Linked DNA regions of Mus musculus. The protein of the gene in region 1 binds, or shares a complex with, the protein of each later gene. Links are inferred from orthologs where the notes say so. Each region holds a gene or a part of one and is shown on either strand. Other genes may lie near its edges.

Region 1 (3,653 bases):
TAACAGGCTGGGGCTCCTGCTCACCAGAGACAGCCTTGCTCTTTTCTTTGGCAGGGCAGACTGGGGGTGGGGGGACTTTCTTATGACCTCCTTTGTGCTGAGTGCCTCCTGATGATGCTTTTTGCTTTCAGGCTCTATGGGGGACACAGGAGTGGCTCCATTCACCTGTGACAGCTTCTCTTTTTTCTTCTGCAGTTTTGGGGTCTTGGCAGGGGTGCTGGGGCTTAGGGTGGGGTTACTGGGAGCTGGACTCTTGGCCCCAGTTATCCCATTCACCTGGGATGGGGTGCTGGCCTTTACCCTCTTCCTTTTCTTCTTGCCTGTGCTGGGGGGCTGGTCTTTACCAGTGGCAGCAGGCATGGCACCCTCTGTCACTGCATCCTGCTGTGACGCAGCATTCTTTTCTGGTGTGGTGCCCTCAGATTTAAGTTTCTTTCGCTTCTTGGTCTCTGGCAAGAATCCCTTTTTCTTCCGCTTTGTGCTGACGGGGCTCTGGGTGTCACTAGGAATATCCTTGGCATTCTTCTTTTCTGACTTTGGACGTCTGTAAGGAAGGATACAGAACAGTGTGTGTGTGTGCAGTATTGGTTGGAGGGAGAGTCCTTTTAGCCACATGCCCAATGCTGGTCCCTCTCCCAGAACATACTGGACTCCTAGCATCCTCATGGCCTGCCAGTAGAGATCATAGAGGCGATTGGAGCCAGATGAGTGATTCCCCTGCTGCAGGCTTTGCTGCAGCTTCTGTTGCTTGCTCTGAAGCACGCCCAAGGGAGCAGTGAGGTCCACAGACAGCTTCTGCAGAGGAAAGGCAGGCTGGAGTAGCAGTGGTGGTGACATGGCCTCTCGCCAGCATTTGGGTCTTCCCAGTGGCTCCTGAGTCCCTTAACCATTTCTGTCCTTACATCACTAGTCCCTTGGTTGTGGAGGAAGCAAGGACCACTGGCACTGACTCCCATTCCATAGCCAGGGTCCTGGGTCTCTGCTTTTGTAGTTCTTCAGCCACCTGCCCATCTCCAGTGGTCTTCTGGCCCTCTATCCTGATGGCTCATGAGTAACTCTTGCCCCTCTATTCTGAGCCTCATCTCTAGCCCCTCTCACTGATTACTAACATCTCAGTTTTCTTTCTGGCACACAGTAACACAGCCTCCCTCCCAATCTACCAGGTCCAGTAGCATTTAATCTTTTAAAAGGCCAGAATCCTCCCCTTGGAACCTTCATGTGGCTCCCAGGCCACACTCCTCTGGAGATCCCCCCACCCCCGGGAGGACTACTGTCAGAACTGCTGCCCATTCCACCTGGGCACTGATTACCGGGCAGCTGCCTTACCTCGTGATTGACTGTCCTCAACAGAGTGTTCAGCAGCTCCAAGATGGATAGCTCCTTCTGGTGCTCCCCCTTGCTCTGTGCCTCCCCAAGAGTCTGCAGGGTCTACAGAGGAAGGCCAACACTGAGACACCCCTGAGAACAGCCCAAGGCCTTTCTACATCCCACACCTAACAGTGGCCCAGGAGGAGGAAATGTGTTCCAAGCAATCTGGTTACCAGAAACCTGGGACAAGTTCATGGGTGGGGGCTTCACAGCTATTACCTGGGTGGCCTTTCCCAAGAGTTGGGTAATCAGCTGCTCCCACTCAGGATCCTCAAAACAGACTCTCAGCTCTCGTGCAGACAGAGTCTTCTGGAGCATCAGGCATGCCTGGGCCTGCATCAAGGCGAATGTAATAGTCAGTAGGAACCCCAGTATGTCAGGTCAAGACTCAGGAACTCACAGAAACTTAGAGAAGGCTGCATGTGCTAGGCCTTACAATCATCAATTTCTCTCTTCTTATGTGGGAAAAGGGTTGCCGAGGCCTGGAGAGGCAGTGGTCCCAACTGGATAGAAGCAAGATCGACCTCATGTTGATCTCCCTCTAGCCTGTCTGATAGCCCTGGCATCTAAGCCGACAAGGGAAGCCCTCTTATGCAGGCCAGAGAGCAAGGTTCCTCCAGTTCCTCTGTGCCAATCACGAGTTACAGCACGAGCACAGCCAAGGTCAGTGACGCAGGCCTCTCAAGTGAGAAGACTGTCCAGGTGTTTCTGACAGCCCCTTACCTGATGGCGGGGCCGAGATGGGCCAGCCACATGCTGAGCCAGGACGGGAAGCAGGTTCTTACAGATCACCTAGGGATTGGGGAAGGACAAGAGGCCATTAGCTGGGGACTGGGCTGGGTAGAGTTCCCAACAGACAGGCTGGCTCCCATACTTACTGGGTATCTGGAGAAGAGGCTGAGGAACATGGGGACCGTAAGTGAGCTGTTACGCTTGGTCAGAAGAGATTCCAGTGATGCTGAATACACCCGGGTCACAAAGTCCAAGTCTAAGCAGTTAGCAGCCTGGTCCTGGTGAGAGAGCTGGGGTGAGACTGGGAGCAGGGAGAAGGCTGAGGGAGAGTCTTGAGCAGGGCTGACCCTGGCTCACCTCTGAGTCCTCTGTGTCAGCTCCGTGTAACTTATGACCATCTTGGTGCCTCTTATTGGTGTTGCCCTTGAGGACTCGCAGCAGGTACAGAGAGGCATTGAAATAGTATAGGGCGACAGAGGCATCAGCCTGGCTGCCAGCCTGCTGCACAAGCCTCTCCACCTGGGCATGCAGAGCCTCTGCACACGGCCCCACCTCGTGGCAGTAGCGGCGGGCACGACACAGGTGGTGCCTATGGGCAGGAAAGGCAAAGTTGGTCAAAAGGTGTCTCTCTACTTTGCTCTGTCAAGTACAGCAAAGAGCAGCCCCAAGTCACGTTGCTAAGTTAGGAAACCAGCTTAGAGATGGACAGAAACTTGATGCCTCTAAAGTGTCCCTCCTCTCCTACGTGTATCTGTCTTGTGGGACAGTGGCTTCTGGCCTCTGTAAAGTAAGATGAAGTTCTATGTCCTCAGAGACAGGAACAGAGTGGGCTTGTCGGAATCCCCAACTATTCTAACAGTGATGGCTGGGATGGGACCTCTCCTCTATGCACAGGAAGCCGCAAGCGTGAGAACCCAGGGGTGGGTAACTCGTGTGCACTCACATGAAGATGCGGGCGGTCTTGTGCAGGAGGTCCTGCTCCTGCTTGGTGGAGCCTTTGCTGCGCATGCTGTGCTGGATCACGTTCAGCAGTGGCTCAAGTAGTTCCAGGATCAGGGGGTGCTCAGGCTGCTTGGTCACCAGCACCTCGATCAGGTCTAGTGCCTGTGGCCAAAAGGCTAAGAGTCAGCTCATGCAGAAACATGGGAGAGGCAGGAACAGCTCAGGGTGCATGGCAACTACCAGTACACTCACCCTGATTTGGAAGTCCCGTCGGAGCTTCTTCTCCTTCTGTAGCTTGTTTTTCTCCTCATTCCGGGCCTGGATGCGCATCTTCTGCTCTTTAAATAGGCTGGCCAGGTTCTGGTCCAGGGCCATCATGGCCTCATCCCCAAGCTCCTCCTCCTCCTCGTTGTCCACTCCACCCTGAGACACAGCAGAGCCATCAGCCGACCCTTAAATGGCTGGACAAACCCCCTCTCCCCTGGGTCCTGCTCACCAATGCATTCCCAGCTTTTAACACTTCCATCAACTGTTGACGGAAGCCTGGGTCCACATCTTTGTCACGGTCCTCCTCTTCACTTTCTTCCCCATCCTCACTGTCCATGTCACTC
Region 2 (3,653 bases), on another chromosome or scaffold:
AAGGTGCCTGGAGTCAGAGAGGGTTGTAAGCTGCCATGTGCTCAGTGGCTAAACACTGGTCCTCTGAAAGAGCAGTAAGTGCTCTTAACCACCGAGCCATGTCTCCAGTCCCTCACAAAGCATTCTGTGTCTTGTGTGTGGCTAGGAGTGGTGCATATGGAGGTCAGAAGAGATCTTGGAGTCATTTCTTTTCCACCATATTCATTCTGGGCTTAGACCCCAGGGTATTGGACTTAGATCACCAGACTGGACAGCAAGCACCTTACATGCTCAGGAGTCTAGCCAGCCAGTCTCACACATTTTATATCTATTATCTTTTTCTCTTCAAAACTGAGGATTGAATCTAGGGACTTGAACATTTCAGACGTTTATCATTGAGCTATATCCTTATCCCTTATATATATCTTTCTTAAAGATATTTTACACTATGTATGGTTTTTATTTTCCTAGTTGAATTTTCAAAACAATGAGTATTTGGTACAATTTGGACACAGTAGGTATTCATTTGAATGAATGAGAGGACCTCCACAAAATAAATTTTGTATTTGACTAGATTTCAACCAAGAAGTAAGTGGTTATTTAAATATAACAATGTTTTAAGCTTTATATACCACATATTTCCTGGGGTTTTCTTAGAAGACTGGATTAAAGGGTACTTAACTTTCTCAGACTGACTTACGGACATTATGAACATTGTTATCAAACTACAAAGTAATGTTTAGCCAGCTATCTTAAAACAGGTACCAAAATACAGTAGAAGCATGCTCCAGTGTTTATAGCACAGTAGGATGACTGCTTAGCTTAAATAACTTATTACATGTTTGTATGAACATTTAGAATTGTTCAGAGACTCAGGACAAAATAAAATGAGTTTGAAATACTAATTATCTTATTACAGTTTATATACATATAGATTAATTCTTTTATGTATGAGAAAGAAATAAATGAGAAACTAGATGATTTTTTTTCACAAGTCAAATGACTAATCTTAATAGTGATAATTGTAATTAGATGGAAATTTCTGATATTTTAGATTAGGTGTTCCACAAACGAGTAAAATGTTACTCTTAAAAAAATAAAAGCTTTCACGGTGTTTCATTCACTTCTCAAAACTAGCTCAGGAGGAAGTAAAGTGCTGAGTTCAAGAGATCTTCCTAACCTGTTTATAAAGTTGGCATTATTTTAGCTTTTTGATATGTAAGAATTATTAATTTCTAGAAAAGAGTCTTATCGTGGAAGGCAAGAGAGAGAAGAAGAAAGTAGAGAGACTGACGATGCAAGTGTCTTCCTTACAGAGAGAGCCATTTACAGTGACACAAGGTGAGTGCATATTGCTTTTATGGGAAAAATGCTCAATTAGGCAAAAGTGACTAGCCAACAAATACTTGATACTAGCAGTCTACTTAGTGTTTAGGAAGTAGGATATATTTTTGGCATAATTTTAATTTTCCCTGTTAGCACAAAGTTATCCAAATTATGTGGTGGGGGTAATTTTCATTAAATTAACTTTGTAGATGTTATTAAGGCCTGGGTATTTAATTGTGATATTTTGCTTTTCAGGGAAGGGTCAGAAACTTTGTGAAATTGAAAGGATACATTTCTTTCTGAGTAAGAAAAAACCAGATGAACTTAGAAATCTACACAAACTGCTTTACAACAGGCCGGGCACAGTAAGACATTTGATAAACATCTCTACAATGTTTTTTGATCCTTAATATATTAAGATGCTTCACCTTAGAGCTGTAATTTTCATTCTGTAAGACTTTAATGATTAGCTAGTTCAATTTCTATACTATACTAGTGAGTAAATTTGAGACACACATTTGTTAAGGCCATGGGGTACATGGTAAGGACATACCATGGTAAACATAGCTGGTAATGTCTATGGCTCTTTTGCTTTTCCTCCTAACTGGGTCTAGAGGAATAGTTCAGAGATAGATTGCTCTGTAATACCCAAGGCCCTGAGCTGAGTCTCCAACAGCACTACCACCAAAACAAAAAAGGAAATGAAATTTGCTCCAAACTGAAAAATCTAAATTATATATACAGTCTGTAGTGACTTTTGGTTTGGTTTGGTTTGGTTTGGTTTGGTTTGATTTGTTTTTTTTGAGACAGGGTTTCTCTGTATAACCCTGGCTGTCCTGGAACTAACTTTGTAGACCAGGCTGGCCTTAAACTCAGAAATCCACCTGCCTCTGCCTCCCAAGTGCTGGGATCAAAGGCTTGGCCACCACACCCGGCTCTGTAGTGACTTTTAATGATATTAGAATTAATTTGTTTTTCAATGTTCTGGCATTGTTCCTTGTAATTATATCTTATTTTAACCAAATACCCATAAAAGAAAGTGGCAAATTTTTGCCAAATTATAGTTATTATATCCTACTACATGTAACTGTATTTGAAATGAAAGGGGTTGTTCATCTCTGTGGGTGTTTTGCACGCATATATATCTGTCTGCTCATTGTGTGCCTGCGACAGTATTAGACCCCTTGGGCTGGTGTTACAGATGTGCTGAGTCAGCCACCATGTAGGTGTTGGAAGAACAGGCAGCCATCTTGCCAGGCCATATAATTATGTTTGAAAAAAAAATGTGCTTTGGGTTGTATGTGTATAAAAAAGGTAGAGAGAGGATGTCTGAAGCATGGTCTAGTTTATTTTCACTCACACTAACCTCAGTCTGCACAACAATCTAATTTACACTTGTTTCATAACTAGTAAACGGCATTCACTTTTTAGAATACTTACTTTACTTTTCAAAAAAATAGTCATTGACTAGTAACTTTCTACGTTTACCTTAAGAACAATTATGGTAAATATTCCTAGGTGAAAATACATTCAGATTCAGACTGTTCAAAAAATTCAGTTTGTAGGATTTTCGTAATATTAACATGTTAGTAGTAAATACACTTTTGTTGACTAAATCAATATTTTAACTTGGAAGATGGATCTGAAAATGAAGACTCTGTCTTTGACTTTTTTTCTTATACATTACTGGATAGTAGCATTAACAATAAACATTTTCAGGTGTCCTCGTTGAAGAAGAACGTGGGTCAGTTCAGTGGCTTTCCATTCGAAAAAGGCAGTACCCAGTATAAAAAGAAGGAAGAAATGTTGAAAAAGTAAGTTACTTTTGTAACTACTGTGTTTGACTAATGCGCTGTAAGCTTACATTTATTAAGATGAGGACCTGCTCATTTTCTAGTAGATTGCTAACTAATTTCGCTGTCAGGGTTTGACAGGTTTTTCTTGGCATTAGCTTGGGGGTTGTTTTTTCTGTTCTGGTAAATATTGACTGTTATAATTATTGAGAGCCTTTAAATCTTCATTTCCTAGAAGATACAAGTACTCACTCAGAGTTCAGACTTGATAAGGTCCGAAGGAAATAGTGAAATATATTTCCGTTTCCTGCAATTACTGTTTGTTTCTTAATGTTTTAAACTTGCTTTGAAAGTAACCCGATGAGAAATTTTCCATATGTGCTAGCAAGGTGACAGACTCTTAGAACGTTTTATTAAATGCCATAGATAAGAATTTAAATAATAAAAATGAAATATTGTAATGCTGAATCACTAACCCAAACAGTTTTCAAACCCATGAATGTAGTATTAGAAACATATAATTTTCTAGTGCGTTTATTTAGACTGTTGGTAAAT

The links.
Region 2: Mybbp1a (region 1) and Dek share a complex: the UniProt entries of both Homo sapiens proteins name them as parts of the B-WICH complex. The link is inferred for Mus musculus from reciprocal best matches to the Homo sapiens genes MYBBP1A and DEK.

The regions. Positions count from the first base shown.
Region 1 is NC_000077.6:72,447,768-72,451,420, reverse strand, and holds part of Mybbp1a (myb-binding protein 1A), read right to left. Parts: coding exon 3,539-3,653; intron 3,466-3,538; coding exon 3,295-3,465; intron 3,205-3,294; coding exon 3,044-3,204; intron 2,690-3,043; coding exon 2,458-2,689; intron 2,379-2,457; coding exon 2,247-2,378; intron 2,161-2,246; coding exon 2,092-2,160; intron 1,702-2,091; coding exon 1,588-1,701; intron 1,429-1,587; coding exon 1,327-1,428; intron 796-1,326; coding exon 647-795; intron 545-646; coding exon 1-544. UniProt on the Homo sapiens protein: May activate or repress transcription via interactions with sequence specific DNA-binding proteins. Repression may be mediated at least in part by histone deacetylase activity (HDAC activity).
Region 2 is NC_000079.6:47,099,640-47,103,292, reverse strand, and holds part of Dek (protein DEK), read left to right. Parts: intron 1-1,218; coding exon 1,219-1,320; intron 1,321-1,560; coding exon 1,561-1,670; intron 1,671-3,024; coding exon 3,025-3,119; intron 3,120-3,653. UniProt on the Homo sapiens protein: Involved in chromatin organization.